Arabidopsis thaliana: one gene and its partners. The protein of the gene in region 1 purifies or fractionates together with the protein of each later gene. This does not show direct contact. Each region holds a gene or a part of one and is shown in the gene's direction. Other genes may lie near its edges. The genes, in order: CDKB1;2, AT4G38900, AT5G07310 and PMH1.

Evidence for each region.
Region 2: the proteins of CDKB1;2 (region 1) and AT4G38900 purify together in Arabidopsis thaliana (affinity purification with mass spectrometry, with the first as the bait; one large-scale study listed by BioGRID). This does not show direct contact.
Region 3: the proteins of CDKB1;2 (region 1) and AT5G07310 purify together in Arabidopsis thaliana (affinity purification with mass spectrometry, with the first as the bait; one large-scale study listed by BioGRID). This does not show direct contact.
Region 4: the proteins of CDKB1;2 (region 1) and PMH1 purify together in Arabidopsis thaliana (affinity purification with mass spectrometry, with the first as the bait; one large-scale study listed by BioGRID). This does not show direct contact.

Annotation. Positions count from the first base shown.
Region 1 is NC_003071.7:16,150,690-16,154,671, forward strand, and holds CDKB1;2 (cyclin-dependent kinase B1;2), read left to right. Parts: upstream 1-1,783; 5' UTR 1,784-1,861; coding exon 1,862-2,495; intron 2,496-2,577; coding exon 2,578-2,647; coding exon of another isoform or gene 2,648-2,717; exon of another isoform or gene 2,718-2,802; coding exon 2,803-2,941; exon of another isoform or gene 2,942-3,084; coding exon 3,085-3,177; 3' UTR 3,178-3,397; downstream 3,398-3,982. Other genes in the region: AT2G38630 (Transducin/WD40 repeat-like superfamily protein), read right to left, coding at 3,594-3,829, 3,928-3,982. UniProt on the Arabidopsis thaliana protein: Together with CDKB1-1, promotes both the last division in the stomatal cell lineage as well as the number of stomata.
Region 2 is NC_003075.7:18,138,695-18,143,792, reverse strand, and holds AT4G38900 (Basic-leucine zipper (bZIP) transcription factor family protein), read left to right. Parts: upstream 1-1,842; 5' UTR 1,843-2,073; exon of another isoform or gene 2,074-2,183; 5' UTR 2,184-2,272; coding exon 2,273-3,471; intron 3,472-3,532; coding exon 3,533-3,683; intron 3,684-3,767; coding exon 3,768-3,852; intron 3,853-4,002; coding exon 4,003-4,229; 3' UTR 4,230-4,498; downstream 4,499-5,098. Other genes in the region: AT4G38890 (FMN-linked oxidoreductases superfamily protein), read left to right, coding at 4,693-4,971. UniProt on the Arabidopsis thaliana protein: Transcription factor that acts as a repressor of reproductive development, meristem size and plant growth. Regulates meristem size, cell size and cell number during plant development.
Region 3 is NC_003076.8:2,303,522-2,307,386, forward strand, and holds AT5G07310 (Integrase-type DNA-binding superfamily protein), read left to right. Parts: upstream 1-2,029; 5' UTR 2,030-2,162; coding exon 2,163-2,415; intron 2,416-2,600; coding exon 2,601-3,139; 3' UTR 3,140-3,316; downstream 3,317-3,865.
Region 4 is NC_003074.8:7,885,172-7,890,807, forward strand, and holds PMH1 (putative mitochondrial RNA helicase 1), read left to right. Parts: upstream 1-2,104; 5' UTR 2,105-2,210; coding exon 2,211-2,639; intron 2,640-2,739; coding exon 2,740-2,867; intron 2,868-2,955; coding exon 2,956-3,367; intron 3,368-3,500; coding exon 3,501-3,599; intron 3,600-3,701; coding exon 3,702-3,926; intron 3,927-4,007; coding exon 4,008-4,169; intron 4,170-4,257; coding exon 4,258-4,635; 3' UTR 4,636-4,982; downstream 4,983-5,636. Other genes in the region: AT3G22290 (Endoplasmic reticulum vesicle transporter protein), read left to right, coding at 22-89; RPS10 (ribosomal protein S10), read left to right, coding at 566-907, 1,059-1,442.

The DNA of each region.
Region 1 (3,982 bases):
AATCCAAAGAGTCATGCTTAAATAAATCCAACCAACATAACTATCGAAGCTGTTGCAACACAACAATATTTGTCACAAAAAAAAAACAATCGTTTCAGATGGACAAGATATTCTAAAGTAAAGACTTGTCAAGCATTAACTTTGAAGAGAAGATTGTATTGGCTGAGTGATAGGGTTCTCTTCATCCATTGTTTTCTGTTTTTTCCTTGGTCGTCCTTGAGGTTTCTTGGGTGGTTTTGGCATTGCTTTACACTTGCATGAACGTTTGTTGTGTCCGACTTGTTGACAATTGCTGCAAGTCTAAATATGCAAAGATTAAATTTAATAATTTGAAAATGAAGATCTTGTGAAACATAATTCATTGTTCTCTATTTTACCATTTAAACTTTTTCACGTGTATAAAGAACTTTTTGAGGTGGACGATCTTCAGTTGGATCACGGATTCTGTCATTGTTCTTTGGTCGATTTTTGGAAATTAATATCCCATTAATATTTAATTACTATGGGGTTAAGTTTATTAACAGGTTTTAGTTCAGAGTTTGTTTTACTAAAAACATAGTTCAGAATTTAAAAATAGATCTGACCAAAGCTGACGGTTTTTTTCATTAAATTCCCTTAATAAAATGGTTGCAAATAAGTTTATTGACCCTAGTAAATCAGTAACGGTTTTTCATAATCAACTTTAAAGTCTTTAAGCCATTTTCTTTCGTTTAGTCAATGCCCTATCATTGAATATTATCTTTGTTTTCTTTTTCATTATTGTAATTTTCTTTTATGTATAGTAGTCCAATAATTTTTTAATATTCAGCCATTGTTTAGTTTCCACATGAAACACACAATTTGTTTATAATCTTGTTTTTCTTTCCCCTTTACATAGAACTTCTTATGATGATTTTTATGAGTTTGTGAAATTGCATACCTTGCACATTCGTAGACCTAGTCAGAATTTTTGTTGTTGTTGTAGTATCTTTATTGTAAAAAGAAATGGTTTTCTTAATGTAACTATCGATCAAAACTGATGCAATTACCATACATGAAATTGGAATGAGTGTAAGAAGAATATAAAGTTGAAATAAATCAAAAATGTGAAACTGAATCAATATCATATGAAGTTGAATCATGTATACTAGAAGCCTAGAACACAAGAAACAACCCACCATTAATGAATAATGAGTAAGAGTTCACAGTCCCAAAATAATTGAAGTTACAAATTCGAACACAAAAAATCAAACCTAAACATTTTTCCAATTGGTTGAGTAAGTGAAAAAAAACTACGTAGTAAGAAATTCTTTTTTTGAGTTTGTGCCAAACATTGAACATTAACGTATAAGGAGAAAACTAATGGGATACAAGCTAAAACAGTTATAGTCTTATTAATTAGTATGTTAAATACTAGATTAAAGTTAAAATGAAGTTGGAAAAGCTCGAAGTTTCAACCAATTAATGCGAAATGATCGACTCTTCAAGTAATATTAATAGTTTAGCAAAATAAATGACTGAAAAATCTTTATTATGGGTTGTGGCTGCAAGCATGAGCTTAGCTTTTTGTACTCAGGGCCGGCTTTACATCAAAGATCATGCATAGATTCATTCAACTAAACATTCACCATGGATAATGAATTGAAATCTATAAACATAATCAAGCAAATATCTTATACTATACTTATCTGTTTAAAATGACTTTGAGTCTTTGACTAATAAAATATTATTGGTACGTGTGAAGCGTGCGAGGGATTCAAATGTTAAACGTTATAGCAAAGAGGCGCCTTTATTTACCAGATCTAAAATCGAAAAGGGGCTTTAGGGTTTATAAGACCCAAACAAAAAACATTCATCAGTCTCAATTCAAAATCCTCCATCAATGGAGAAATACGAGAAGCTCGAAAAGGTCGGTGAAGGAACCTATGGAAAAGTCTACAAAGCAATGGAGAAAACCACCGGAAAACTCGTCGCTCTGAAGAAAACTAGGCTCGAAATGGACGAAGAAGGTATACCACCAACGGCTCTCCGTGAGATCTCTCTTCTCCAAATGCTTTCTCAATCAATCTACATCGTTCGTCTCCTCTGCGTCGAACATGTTATTCAATCGAAAGATTCGACTGTTTCTCACTCTCCCAAATCCAATCTCTATCTCGTTTTTGAGTATCTCGACACTGATCTCAAGAAATTTATAGATTCTCATAGAAAGGGCTCGAATCCTAGACCGCTTGAGGCTTCTCTTGTGCAGAGGTTTATGTTTCAGCTTTTTAAAGGTGTGGCTCATTGTCATAGCCATGGTGTGCTTCACCGTGATCTTAAACCGCAGAATCTTCTATTGGATAAGGATAAAGGGATTCTTAAGATTGCTGATTTGGGTCTTAGTCGTGCTTTTACTGTGCCTCTTAAGGCTTATACACATGAGATTGTTACTCTTTGGTATAGAGCTCCTGAAGTTTTGCTTGGTTCTACTCATTACTCTACTGCTGTTGATATTTGGTCTGTTGGATGCATCTTTGGTTAGTAATCAGCTACTATGTCTCTTTTAATGGTCTTTTGTTCTACTGTTTGGATTACTGATGTTTCCCCATTTTTTTGTAGCCGAGATGATTAGGAGGCAAGCTCTTTTCCCTGGTGATTCTGAGTTTCAGCAACTACTTCATATTTTCAGGTATTTGCTTCTTGTTTTTGATGCCAATGTGTATGTATACAGGAACCAGTTTAGGACTTTAGCCCATTAGGTTCAGTACTCGTGAACTCATTTGGATTATGGGGACTGTCTAGTATCAATATATCTGAAGTATGGTTTTGTTTTGGGTTCTGGAGATTGTTAGGAACACCAACTGAGCAGCAATGGCCGGGTGTAATGGCATTGCGTGACTGGCATGTCTATCCAAAGTGGGAGCCGCAAGACTTATCACGTGCTGTTCCATCTCTATCTCCTGAAGGAATTGATCTTCTCACGGTAATGCTCTTTTCTAAAATATGACCATTGTTGGAGAAGTGGCCTAAGATTCTCTTGCATACTTGATCTCTTTAGTAGATTCTTTCTGTTGGGGTTCGTTCCTAGTTGATGATAATTTGTTTTGAACCTTTGAACAATTGCAGCAAATGTTGAAGTACAATCCAGCAGAAAGAATTTCAGCAAAAGCAGCTCTCGATCATCCCTACTTTGACAGCCTTGACAAATCTCAGTTCTGACCTCTGCCAAATTACTGATCAGGCTTCTCTTTGGAGTTCTGAAGCTGATGGCTCAAGTTTATTGTCTTGGTGTCTTATGCTGTGTGCTTTAGAAAGATTTGTACTTAAACTAAACAATCTGAAAACCTTGTTTGTTCAGCGAGAGTGAGAGAATCTTCTTTAAGTGGCCAATTTTATTTGTTCATGTAAACAAGTCTATCAAAGCAAAAATGGTTAACCCTATTAAGCAGACAAATCATTAGTGTACATAAATGAGAGACGAATTTGAAATATTTGCTGTTTCATTACAACGACAATTGCTACTCAAACACACAAGTAAATTACATATCTCATGATATTACACAATTGAGAAACAGAACAAGATACAGAGATCTCTTGTATTAATGTAAAAAAAACAAAACAAATGATGAGTAGCTTCAATTAGACCAGACATGGAGGAGGCCGTGTCTGTTTCCTGTGTATATTTCATTCCGTTCTTCGTCGTAGAAGAGAGCGGTTATGTCTTCCAAAGCCTCAGCAACCGCACTTCTCCTTCGAGAGGAATTCCCCAAATCACTACTGCTGCAGTCCTCTTCCTTAGGAGGACCATTATTTGCTTTTATCTTAGCTAAGCATTTACCAGTCAAGATATTGCTTATGTTAATCGACCCCGCTACATCAACAACCAAAATCACGACAATGTCTCAATAGCAAAACAAAATCAGACCATGAGGTTTCTTGATTTGAAGAGTGGATGATGAGTCTACTTACCATTTCCTTCTATCCACTGATCTTCAGTATCTGCCTTGCAATATGAGATGATCAG
Region 2 (5,098 bases), on another chromosome or scaffold:
AGGCAAAGAGTATATTCGTTTTATAGGAGAATGTAATATTCCAAACTTTGGATGTGCATGGTTATGGATGTTGTAGCATTTGCATTTGCCGAGAATTATAAAGATACGTATACCAAATAAAATACATGAATTTCTCGAAAGCCAAAATAAAAATTTGCTCTAAACTCTTAATTTGTGATGCAGGCATAATATTGTTTGTGAAATTAATTCAAACGTGATCAAGACGAACACTGCCCCCACTTATATTAATCTGATTAATATGTTTGGCCCACGTTTAGATCGGTAGATCATATCCGTTGCACATACAAACTTTACATAATTACTCAATCAAACAATTTTATTTCTTAAACCACCGTGGTTTGATTTTTAAAACGTGCATTATAGTTTCGTTAATACTCCAGTATAGTGATGTTATTCGGTTCCTGTTAATTAATTGTAACACGACCATTTATGATATGACTACGACTTAATCCACGTGATTTAACACCTTAATTACGACTTTCAATTATCATTTTCACACGCTGTTCTATGTCTTCTATTAATTTCTTAAGGAACAAAAATACTAGTAGTTCATTTAAATAAGAAAATCATTGGTTATCTTTGATTATTTTGATGTCAAATCTATATTTGAAACTGAATTTTTTTACAAAAATAGAAAATTTCTTAAAACGTGCATTGTAATTTGATTTCTTTTAAAAAATTAAAATAAAAAGAATTGACGCAACAAACCGCGGGTAGTGCGACTAAACACCTAGTAAAATACTATAATCGTAGAATCAAATAATGATATGTAGATATTTACGAGAAACATGGAGGGAGGTGGTTATAAAGAGTCAATATTTGTTGTGTGGTGGGGTTCATCTAATTAAAAGCAAATGAAGTATATAATTATATTGATAGGTGAAATCTAGATCTTAGAAATTGTTTACAAAGATTGTAAACTCTGGTTACCACCGTTTAGAACATTTTTGCACCAAGCCTTGAAACGGTTGATAGATTAATCACCAAAATGAACGAACCTATCTGTCATCGTCCTTACATAAATAAACGATGAAGCACGAGATCAACACAGACGATCTCTAAAATTCGTAAACAAAGAAATTATTGGTGTAGACAAATAAGTCGGGAACAAATCATTCAATATGGCGGTCCATTACATATTATTTAAAGAAATATATAAGTAAGAGAGGCATAATTAAAGAAAATACAAAGAATGGCTTTTTACATTGTACATGACAACATAAGGAGGACAGAATCTTTCGTCTAGACAAGAATGTCAATTGTGGTCGGAATAGAATTGAATCTCAAATCCATATTCAAATCATCAAAAATAAAAAGAAACATTTTCGCTAAATGGTTTTAACTTCCATTTCGGATGACAAAGAATATTATTCCTAAAATTCATTTTGTCAAACCAGTAATATTGTGAAACTAAACAAGTTTTAGATCTTTATCCAAAAAATAACCGTATATATATACAATGTAATCATATGAATGAGGAATATATATGTTAAATTCGTATTTGATACTCAATATACACAGATTTTTACTTAAAAAAACATTTGAAATAAATGGCTAAAAAATAACAAATCCAAATTTATATAAAGTTTTGGATAGAATTGCATTAAATAGAAAATCTTGGGAGGTTGTGGTAAATTCACGCGTCTTGTTGGGTGTTTTTATATTTCTTCTTTTTCTCTTACTTCTCATGAAATCCGTGTCTTTTGTTTTTCTTTGTTACTAGTACTACTTTAGAGTTTACACTGTCTTGCTCGTGTCAAAAAAGAAAAAAAAAAGTCGTCGTCTCTATCGAGTTTTTTTTTACTATTCTCTCTCGAGAAAAAAAAAATCAAAGGGGAGAGAAAATTGCGGAGGAAAAAAGAAAAGAAAGAGAAAATGGCTCTGTGATTCTCCAATTTCTATAGAGAGAGAGAGAAGAAGAAGATTGATTAGATAAGTTTCTTAATTCAACGTTGAGAGACAGAGAGAAAAAAAAAAAAAGATTTTGTCATTCTTCAAAATACGTTCTCGCCATTTGCGCCATTGATTAATTCAAGTGCGTTGAAGTTAGAGGTAACCACCAACTTGCATTTTACTCTCCAAAGCTCTGATTTTTCTGTCAAATTCTTTTGAAAACTTTGATGCTTGTTTTCTTCTCATCATTGATTCTTTTTTGATGATAGGTTAGTTCTACACAAAGCTTGATCTTTTAGGGGTTTTCTCTAGTTATTGGAGAGTGGTGAGAATTAGAAACTGCATTATCCGATCTAAAATGGGTGATACAGAGAAGTGTAACAGTGATATGATCCAGAGACTTCATTCATCTTTCGGCACTACTTCTTCTTCCATTCCCAAAAATCCCATTTCTCAGCTCGATTTAAACCCTAATTTCATCCGCTCATCAGCTCCTCAATTCTCCAAGCCTTTCAGTGACAGTGGCAAACGAATCGGTGTTCCTCCGTCGCACCCCAACTTAATCCCACCGACTTCTCCGTTTTCTCAGATCCCGACCACCCGACAACCCGGTTCGCATAATTTTAACCCGGGAGGAGCTAATCATTCACGGTCAATGTCACAGCCCAACTCTTTCTTCTCTTTTGACTCCTTACCTCCGTTAAGCCCTTCTCCGTTTCGAGATCACGATGTTTCAATGGAGGATAGAGATTCCGGCGTGTTTAACAGCAACCATTCGTTGCCTCCATCGCCGTTCACGAGGTGTAATTCGACCTCTTCTAGCTCCTTGAGAGTCGGTGAGAGTTTACCTCCGAGAAAGTCTCATAGACGCTCCAACAGTGATATCCCCAGTGGGTTTAATTCGATGCCTTTGATCCCTCCGAGACCATTGGAGAGGTCTTTTTCTGGTGGGGAGTGTGCTGATTGGTCAAAGTCTAATCCTTTTGTGAAGAAGGAATCGAGCTGCGAAAGGGAAGGTGTCGGAGAGAGAGAAGCTATGGATGATCTCTTCTCAGCATATATGAATCTTGAAAACATTGATGTGTTGAACTCCTCTGAAGCTGATGATAGCAAGAACGGTAATGAGAATAGGGATGATATGGAGAGCAGCAGAGCAAGCGGGACCAAGACTAACGGTAGTGATACGGAAGGAGAGAGCAGCAGTGTCAATGAGAGTGCCAATAATAATATGAATTCTTCTGGTGAAAAGAGAGAGAGCGTGAAGAGAAGAGCGGCTGGAGGAGATATTGCTCCTACCACCAGACATTACAGGAGTGTTTCAGTGGACAGTTGTTTCATGGAGAAGTTGTCTTTTGGTGATGAATCTCTAAAGCCGCCTCCTTCTCCTGGATCTATGTCAAGGAAAGTTTCCCCTACCAATTCGGTTGATGGGAACTCGGGTGCTGCTTTTAGCATCGAGTTCAATAACGGTGAGTTTACTGCAGCGGAAATGAAGAAGATCATGGCAAATGATAAACTAGCAGAGATGGCCATGTCTGACCCTAAACGTGTCAAAAGGTACAAATATTGAATCTTGACTAACATTACCGGTTTATAATCAAATATTCTGATGTTTAAGGAATGATCCTCTTTTCAGAATCTTAGCGAACCGTCAATCCGCAGCACGGTCAAAGGAGAGGAAGATGCGGTACATAGTAGAATTGGAACACAAAGTGCAGACTCTTCAGACCGAGGCTACCACATTGTCTGCTCAGCTCACACTTTTGCAGGTGCGTTGTTTACAATGTTATAAAAGCGCCTAGATTGGTCAATTTTTGTTTTGTTCTAACGATCTTAGTTACTGCATTATCCAGCGCGATATGATGGGGTTGACAAATCAGAACAATGAGCTTAAGTTCCGGCTTCAAGCAATGGAGCAACAAGCGCGTCTTCGCGATGGTATACATTTCTCTTCACATTGTATCAAATTTACGATATTATTAACATGACTTTAACAAAAAATGGAACCAGATCCTATATGCTTTAAAAAAATCTCCATTTTTGCGCTTAACGAATGTGAAATGACGATTTTTTTCCCCCGCTTTGCAGCTCTGAACGAAGCACTGAATGGAGAAGTCCAGCGACTGAAACTGGCAATCGGTGAGAGCAGTCAGAACGAATCAGAGAGATCAAAGATGCAATCACTCAACGCTGAGATGTTCCAGCAACTCAACATCAGCCAGTTAAGACAGCAGCCACAACAGATGCAGCAACAGTCTCATCAGCAGAACCACCAGAATGGAACCATGGCAACAAAATCTGAATCAAATGAATAGAGCAGAGAAGTTGTTGCGGTGGATCAAAGGGTTGGAGTTTTTCAACAAGTTACATATCAAATCAAACATTATATTTCATTTATGTGCAGAGTCAGTTGAATTTACATATATATCATATAAGTCCAAGAAATTTAATTTTACAATATGTTGTTATCTTAGAAAGAAAAAATTCAATTTATAGTAGATATAGGTATGAACTATGAACACAAGTTATATGTAATGGGATTGATTGAGCTTCAGACAAAAAGATTCTCTGTTTGTTTTGTTTTTAGTTTTTAATTTAGTCTTGGATTCTGTCTCTTTTTGTTGGTTTGTTTATTTTAACATTATGGGCCGGTTTTTGGCCCATTAAACAGCATCCCAAAACATTGTTGCCTTCTTCGTCTCTCTCTGTGAATAATATCTAAAACCCTAACAAACACTATCACTCACTTCATTTTCGTGACGACGGAGCTTGACCGCTATGTCAGATGTAATAGCGGAGCACGCGGTGGATACTAGTGTTGAAGGAGATGCAAAGGCTGCGTTACCGGTTCAATCGACGAAACAGTTCTCTGTGTATGAAGCGACTTCGGAAGAGCTTATAGAACGATCAATGGCTCCTATTAAGAAGGAGTTCCTTTGTCCTCCTCCTCCAAGCCGTTCCGTGAAGCAAAATGATGCCGCCGATGTTAGGGCGCCTCAATCGGGTTTGGTTCAGGAGAAGAAATCTAAACGACAACTGAAACGGGAACGCCGCGAGGTATTGATTCGAATCACATCGGTGCTTGTATGTATAGCTTCGAATCTATCTATGTTTTAAGAACTAGTTTTTTTGGCAACTGAAACCATTGGATATGAGAGAGAGTTTAGAACAGGAGGGATTAATT
Region 3 (3,865 bases), on another chromosome or scaffold:
GTGTTATAATTATCATAAAATTGAAAGTAAATTTTTTAAAAAAGTTGTCAAGCCGTTTTATGCAAAAAAGATTTTTTTTTTAAAAAAAAAATTTACATTATGTGACGTCGTTAAACTCATTTTCCCTGCTTGGCAAATTCACAAAATGTTGTTTCTTCGTTCTCGTCAACAAATCTGAAAATACCTACACATGCCATGTGTATATCCTGTTTTAAAGTTTAATTTTTTCATTTAAATTCAAATTCATTGACATGTCGTTGTAAGATACTCTCAACCTTTTTTCTATCAGATTGACTTTCTTATTAAAAAAGTCACTTTCTTTTCTCGTAATCTTAGCTATATAATGTCATTTTTGTATAATTTAGACGTAGAAAAGTTGGCTAATTTAATAGATCATAATAATATCAAATCATATTTATCCATAGTCAAATGAGTACGTTATACATCCTGAACAGCAATCCTGAACAGAAATTATTTTTTCGTCGTCCCGTCAAAACGTGTTATCCTACGTTTTATCAGATGCCATGCTATATGTTATGTTTTTATTTCAATGTATTTATAATCAAGTTTGAATATTACATATTTTTTACTTTAATAGTTAATACATTACAAAGAAACAAAAAAAGCATGTTGCTTGTTGTTGAGAAAGAATAACAAACAAACACATGTGTCATGTGTGCCACGTGCAAACATGACTAAAAAAAGACAACAGTTTCTCGATTGCAACTCTCTTGGTTTCTTTCCTACTTCCGTAATGAGAAAAAAAGCTCTGTCTATACCTAAAAAAAGTTATTTCTTAGAATATCAAAAGCTAGATTTTAGGAAATTAAATATTTGAGATCAACAAATATCGTTAGTTGTGAATTGCGACTTGTCAAGGGCCCATACAAAATGTTTTTTTTTTTGTGTGTGTGAGCATATCCTTATAATAATTTGTTTGTTTAATACCAAAATGGTGCTTTAAATGTTAATATATTACTGTAAACTTTCCCTAGATCCACTAATTTTTCTTTTTATCGTTTATTAAAAAACATTAATAGTAATCTAACCCGTTATCTATATATACATTTTAAGTGAGTATGAAAATTTACTCCAATTTTGATCTCCTGAATTGTGATAATCTTATCTCTTTTTTTCTTTCTAAAACTTGAATCTTGGACTTGGTGTTTGCATGTAAAAATGTTTTTTCATTACTCATTTAACTGAACTATTTCTAGATATAGATGAAATTAGAAATCCTCTTCGAATTATCTATCAAAAGTAGAAAGAGCCTCAATAACAACATTTCACACGTTTTTACTTGAGTTAGTGATCAATGTGTACACATTTCTCGAATATAACTAAATTTGTCTTTCAATCTCTATCCAAATATTTTATAGGGGAGAAAAGACCCCACTCTCGCGTAACGTAAACTCCTTTTCTATATCACAACATATATGTAAAACAATTTGATTATTTTCTTATTCCTTAACTTTTCCAGAGAATGTCGGTTTATAGTTATACACGAAGAATATCTATGTTTCTTTGTATTTAAATCAAACTTCCAAAAGAATATAATTATTTTTCTTTTCTCTTCTTCGATTCCATGCATGTTTTCTCAAAAAAGCAATTAAACAGAATATGTATATATGCATGCACTCCTTCTTTATTTTTTTCTTTTTGTCATCTTGGAGCTTTACATAGCGTTCATATTATTTTACATTCTTCTATTAGAGCTTTTCTACTAATCTTTATTGATATCCATTTCTTAACTTGTTCAGATTCACACGTACACATTTTTTGCAATAATCAAATCAAAAAGCTTTTTTCACGCGTCTCTACAGTTTTAGCAGGGTACACTGATATAGTACATGATTTTCTATATCGAAAATTACAATAGCTAGAAAAATATATAATTTTTTTAAAAATATGCAAAACTTCTGCTTGACGTTAAATTTTGTTTTGTCATTTGTCTTATGTTCACACAGACGAAAAAGCTTCTATAAAACCGTCAAAATAGCTCACCCCTAAAACCCTAATTATATATTCCCTCTTTCATTCTCCTTCTTCGTCTTTTCTTTGTTTCTCATATTCAAGACATCCTCAATTCCAAATCTTAAACCCTAAATTTACAGACACAATCGAGATCACCTGAAAAAAGAGGTTTAAAGATTTTAGCAAAGATGGCGAATTCAGGAAATTATGGAAAGAGGCCCTTTCGAGGCGATGAATCGGATGAAAAGAAAGAAGCCGATGATGATGAGAACATATTCCCTTTCTTCTCTGCCCGATCCCAATATGACATGCGTGCCATGGTCTCAGCCTTGACTCAAGTCATTGGAAACCAAAGCAGCTCTCATGATAATAACCAACATCAACCTGTTGTGTATAATCAACAAGATCCTAACCCACCGGCTCCTCCAACTCAAGATCAAGGTATATTTACATATATAGTTGACAAATTAGTTACCATATTTATGGGATGATATATGTGAATGAAAAAATGAGCATAATGTTTTATAATAGCAGTTGAATTTGTGCTCTGGACGACGAATATATCCATGTAGTATATATGAGAAATATATCAAGTATATATACGAATGTTTTCTCTTGTTGATTAGGGCTATTGAGGAAGAGGCACTATAGAGGGGTAAGACAACGACCATGGGGAAAGTGGGCAGCTGAAATTCGGGATCCGCAAAAGGCAGCACGGGTGTGGCTCGGGACATTTGAGACTGCTGAAGCTGCGGCTTTAGCTTATGATAACGCAGCTCTTAAGTTCAAAGGAAGCAAAGCCAAACTCAATTTCCCTGAGAGAGCTCAACTAGCAAGTAACACTAGTACAACTACCGGTCCACCAAACTATTATTCTTCTAATAATCAAATTTACTACTCAAATCCGCAGACTAATCCGCAAACCATACCTTATTTTAACCAATACTACTATAACCAATATCTTCATCAAGGGGGGAATAGTAACGATGCATTAAGTTATAGCTTGGCCGGTGGAGAAACCGGAGGCTCAATGTATAATCATCAGACGTTATCTACTACAAATTCTTCATCTTCTGGTGGATCTTCAAGGCAACAAGATGATGAACAAGATTACGCCAGATATTTGCGTTTTGGGGATTCTTCACCTCCTAATTCTGGTTTTTGAGATCTTCAATAAACTGATAATAAAGGATTTGGGTCACTTGTTATGAGGGGATCATATGTTTTCTAATTGAGTTTTTTTTTGTATTTGTATTTTTCATTATGCGTGTGTTTTTGTTTGTGATCACTTTGTTTACTTCTTTCAAGAGTTTTTCATGGGTTCTTTGTTTGTAACCCTTGCATTTGGATTTGTTTTAAGTTTTTTTTTTTTTTTTTTTTTTTTTTTGGGTGGGGTAATTCGTTTTGTATTAAAGAAGAAATTATAAATACACAAGAGTGTTACCCTTTAAATTTATTGGAGTTCCCCCAAACAAACACACATGTAGACACATAAAATTATAGCATTAATAACTGCTAAATTCCGAATTGCGTTGTTATGTGGCCATTATATTGCCAACGCAGATATAACAAACCAAAGCTTTTTATTTATTGAATGAAAATACATTTTCTACCGTGTATCTTACAAGACATAAGGCAAAGTAGCATACCTACATGACAGTACTAATAACATCTGTTGAGAGTCGTTTAGTTTTAATATTTTTCGTCCCGTTTTCTTGGACTAAGATGACAGCCTTGATTTAAGTAATTATATATCAAGTTTATACATACACAATTTCCTTTCCAATTTTATTGGACTGTTTTGGGGGATCTCTTCAGTCAGTTTGAATTCAAAAAATTACTACGTGCGTGTAATAGTTTATGGCCTGGTTATTCGAAAACACCGTAGACT
Region 4 (5,636 bases), on another chromosome or scaffold:
TTATCTCATACCTTAAAACAGGAATGTTAGATCGTTGGATGTTCCGCTTTATTGAATCTTTCAACAAGAAGCCGAGTACTAGAGCGTAAACTAGCTGAAACAGAGACAAAACAATGAGAAACAAAAAAAACCAAAGGAAGGAAGAAGAATCTCTCAAATCCCAAAACTTGTATCTGCCTTCTTCAGACAACAACACCCACCAGAGATTCCAGGATTGATGATTACATTACTCAGAAACTCTAGAATCCATGGATATAGTTTTTTTTTGAGTCTCTCTTATGTATTACTCTGATTATCTCTGGTTAAACTAGTAGAGTTAATTTGTAATTTTTATTCACCTTGCTTCCTGGGATTTTAACATTTTTGCATCTTTTCACTTGTCTCAGTAAAAAAACAAAATTATACTGTAGCTCACCGTAAGATAACGTACACTCGTCACAGGTGATCCTGTCCTCACAATTCTCTCTGATTTCGCTTACTCTTTCACTGAAACCCTAATTTGGGGTTTTTCAGATTTCCTTCAATCTCTCGTCGTCATTTCTTCGTCTCACCGTTGAATCTGAAAATGATCGCCGGAGTATTGCGCCGATCTTCACTCCCGTCGAGGCAGACTCTCTCCGCCGCGTTAGCCTCCTTCAATTCGTGTATTTCGCACAATCTCACTCCAGCCACCACCGGAGCTTCCGTCAGCTCTCGATTCACTCTCGCGTCGTCTCCTAACTCGTTTGGCATCAGAGCGAGGAACATCCACATTAGATCTGAGCCGTCGATGATTGTTCCCGCAGGAATCGCGTCACAAGGTTACGCCACTGTCACAAAGGATCGCAAAAACGAGATTAAGAAAGCTAAGATTAAAATTTCTCCAGACAATGTCAGACCATTGAGTAGGAAGGAGATCGCTCTCCAGGTATATGCATTTTTGTTCAAATTCATAGAATATTATTCAAAGTGCTTCATCAGATTCAAATTCGAATAGGAATCGGAATGTGAAATTCATTGAAATGATTTAGAACTGTTGTTTATGTTGTTGTTGTTGTGTGTTTGGGGTTGAATTGTAGAAAGAGGCAGCAGAAGAAAGCACATCAAAGATAAAAGGAACAAAGATTTGTATAGCGATTCGGTCTTTTGTTAACCCGGAAAAGCAAGCTTGGTGTCTTCCTCCTCACACTCGTAAAGTCGCAATGCCCGATACACGAACTCTGTACACGGTGCTAAGATCGCCTCACGTCGATAAGAAGTCTAGAGAACAGTTTGAGATGAGGTTCAAGAAACGGTTTCTTGTCATCAAAGCTCAGAGTCATGAGTTGAGCAAGAAGCTGTTTTGGTTAAAACGTTATCGTATTCTTGGAGCTCAATATGAACTCCAGTTCCATTGCAAGACCCGTTTGGATATGACTCAAGTGTTAGGCAACATCAATGGCTCCACCACCAATGCTTACTGAGATGGCTAAAGACATCATTTTGTAGAAGTTTCAAGACCCAACCGGGTACTATGCAATAATTTCGAACCTTACGGATCCATGAAACCAGCTTTGCTTCACATCAGATCAAGTAGTTATTTTCTTGCTTAGTATAAACATGTGTTTTTGGACGATTTTGAAAGATACAATTGAGTTTCAGTTACAGTGCTTTCCATTTATTCATTAGCCAATCAAAGTCTTTATACATCACCAAGGATTGAGACACATTTAGACTGCTAAAGGTGTCATTTTGAGAAGTTATAGAAACCTTTGACCCGACCATGGAATGATGTCGAACTTTAAGGATCCAAGAGCTCACATTTTAGGTGTATTCATTCATTAGGCAATTCTAAGACTTTTACATTGTACATAATCACTAATGATTTGAGACATATGGTATAGGTTAATTTGATAGATCTGATTCCGAACCTGAGCTATTGCCAATTTGCCACACTACACAAAGTTACAAAAAACAGAACTCATTAACTCTTTGCTTCACATTCAAGAACACCTTTGGGCTCAAGCAAAAAATAATAATCAACTCTGTTTCCTTACACAAGCTTGCACGTGTAGGAACATACCATACACTCACCCGCAGGTGATTATAACAAAGTTCCCTTTATACCCGCCTTTGATTCTTCTTCTTAAATCTCTAAACCCTTTTGCCGTCTCCCTAAAACCCTAATTCTCATTTCTGGGGTTTCACATTTCATCTTCACCAGAATCCATCACACTCTCTGAAATCTGAAAATGATTAGCACAGTACTTCGCCGATCTATCCTTGGTACGTCAAGGCGTACTCTCGCCGCTTCGGTGACCTCCATTAACGCAGCTCTATTTCATAACCTTGCTCCAGCCGCCGCCACAGTCTCCGATCTAGCAAATGGAGCTACTAATGTCAAGTCTCTCCCTTCGAATTCGAGCCCTTTTGGTGTTAAAGTGAGAGACTTTCATGTTAAATCTGTACCGTCGGAGTTTAGATCGTCGATTGTTTCTTCTGCGGGATTCGCGGCTCAAGAGTATGCTCCTTCTTATGAGAACGATGGAGGGATTGGAGATTCGGAGAGTGTTGGTAGCAGCGGTGGTGGTGATGGGCTTGCGATAGCTGATCTTGGTATATCTCCGGAGATTGTTAAAGCTTTGAAGGGTAGGGGTATTGAGAAACTCTTTCCTATTCAGGTATATATGATCTTCTTCTCTGTTCCATTTGGTTATAGAGATCAATTAAAAGTTTAGATTTTTTTAACTGAGTTTTTGATGTTTGTGTTTGGTTGAATAGAAAGCTGTGTTGGAGCCAGCGATGGAGGGTCGTGATATGATTGGCCGTGCAAGGACTGGAACGGGAAAGACACTTGCTTTTGGGATTCCTATTATTGACAAAATCATCAAATTCAACGCTAAACATGGGTTTGTGTTTACTGTTATATATAACGATCATTTGTGATTGAGAGATTTGCACTTCCTTTGGTTCTTATGTTGTCTTTTGATGTGACAGTCGTGGGAAGAATCCTCAGTGCTTGGTTTTGGCACCGACGAGGGAGCTTGCTCGTCAGGTTGAGAAAGAGTTCAGGGAATCTGCTCCAAGTTTGGATACTATTTGTCTCTATGGAGGTACACCAATCGGGCAACAAATGAGGGAGCTGAACTATGGTATTGATGTGGCGGTTGGAACTCCTGGTCGTATCATTGATCTGATGAAAAGGGGAGCTTTGAATCTATCAGAGGTTCAGTTTGTGGTTCTTGATGAAGCTGATCAGATGCTTCAAGTTGGATTTGCGGAAGATGTTGAAATAATATTGCAGAAGTTGCCAGCGAAGCGTCAGAGTATGATGTTTTCTGCAACAATGCCAAGTTGGATCAGATCTCTCACCAAGAAGTACCTGAACAATCCTTTGACAATTGATCTTGTGAGTAGTCTTATACCTGCTTGTGTTTATATCTTAGAATTGCTGTACAAATTGCAAATATTGATCTTGGCTGTAGCAGTGTAGTTAATGAAGTGACATTTTTTAATGACACATGTACTCTTATGTAATTTAGGTTGGAGATTCAGATCAGAAACTTGCAGATGGGATTACTATGTATTCTATCGCTGCAGATTCTTATGGAAGAGCATCCATCATTGGTCCTCTTGTAAAGGTATGTTTTCTTTACTTTGCTTTTAAGCCAATTATCTGTATCTTGTTTTGATTCTTCATTTTTGTTTCCAGTCGTGATTTTATAACATCTTCTCCTTTACAGGAACATGGCAAAGGAGGAAAATGCATTGTCTTTACCCAAACAAAACGTGATGCAGATCGCCTTGCATTTGGATTGGCAAAAAGCTATAAATGTGAAGCTTTACACGGTGACATATCTCAAGCTCAGAGAGAAAGAACACTTGCTGGTTTCAGGGATGGGAATTTCAGTATTCTTGTTGCAACTGATGTTGCTGCCCGTGGACTTGATGTACCTAATGTCGATTTAGTGAGTGAAAACAATACCTTTTCTTGCGCTTAACTAGTTCTGTTTCTCATTTTATTAACCTGTATTGTGCTTTGTGTACAGGTAATTCATTATGAGCTTCCTAATAACACGGAGACGTTTGTTCACCGAACGGGGCGAACTGGTCGTGCTGGAAAGAAAGGAAGCGCGATTCTCATCCACGGTCAAGATCAAACCAGGGCTGTTAAAATGATTGAGAAAGAAGTCGGAAGCAGATTCAATGAGGTTAATATCTTTCTTTACCACCTTTGTATCTTTTGTATGAATAGCTTGGGTAACAAACAGTTCTGAATCTATTTGGTTTTGAATTCAGCTGCCTAGCATTGCTGTGGAAAGAGGAAGCGCAAGCATGTTTGAAGGAGTAGGTGCTAGATCTGGTGGGTCGTTCGGAGGAGGTCGATCAGGCGGTGGTGGGTATGGTAGTTACGGTAGCAGCAGTGGCCGTTCAGGTGGTGGTAGTTATGGAGGTTATGGTGGCAGCAGTGGCCGTTCAGGTGGTGGTGGTGGTAGTTATGGAGGTTCAGGGGGATCAAGCAGCCGTTACTCTGGTGGTTCAGACCGCTCATCTGGTTTCGGAAGCTTTGGTTCAGGCGGTTCTTCAGGAGGATTTGGTTCAGACCGTTCTTCTCAGTCAAGTGGAAGGAGCAGCTTTGGTGGGTTTGGATCAAACGATGGTAAAAGATCTTACTGAGAGAAGTGTTGTGTTGGTTTTGACCCGACTCAGCAATAATGGAGTTGACTTAGGAGAGAACTCGGTATCTCGAGTTGAGTAGTTTACAAGGAGTCGAGCTATATATAAATTCTGTAGCTACTTCTTGTCTCATAAACCAACATAAGTTATATCATTATTTCATATCCTCTAATTCATTTTTATTTCTCAATTTGAGTGAAATGTGTTTCCCTTACTTCGCCACTTCCATTTATGAATCTTGTTAGATTGTGAGAAAAGGAAATAATGTGGTTGATCAAAGATTCAAATCATCCCTAGTTTTGATTTCTTGTTAGATCTTGCAAGTTTTTGGTAGAACCATACACAAGAAAAATTGTTTTAAGCTTTAATTCTCATATCTGACCAACAAAAATAAAACACAGTCGACAATTATTGTTCACTACAAAAAGCATTACTCTTATGTTTCACAACTAATTAGCCTTCATTTCGCAAAACTTGATGCACTGCATAGCAAGAGCATGCAACTAGCTGCTGAACGAAAAGGCTTGGCTCTGCATAGCTAGCATAATAATACCAAGCTCCTTGGGTGTGATCCCCTTTGCAGTGAATCCAGATTTAGTTTCATCCAGTCTTATAGGCCCAAGAACGGGTTCTTGTACACATACTTGGTGATTCTGAGGGTTACAAAGCTGAGATCCCATAAACGTTGAAAGGCGTTCAGGTGGTGGTATAAGAATCATTGAGATGAGTAAAACAGTCAACACCACCCACAAGGGCATGCAAATCAATGGTAGCCATCTCAACACCATCCCCCAGCTTCTCCATTTGGAGACATTTTGAAAAAAACTCAAGAACGGCGCCTGTACAACCGTCAACACTCATCCACAGCTGATCTGAAGTCAGTAATACTCTGGAAGAAGTATCAGTTTTGAACATTTTAAAAATTGATATTTACGATTTTTTTCTTTTTAGGGTGTTAAGGAATGGGGATTATCGACAAACAAGTGATGAATCAGATTATT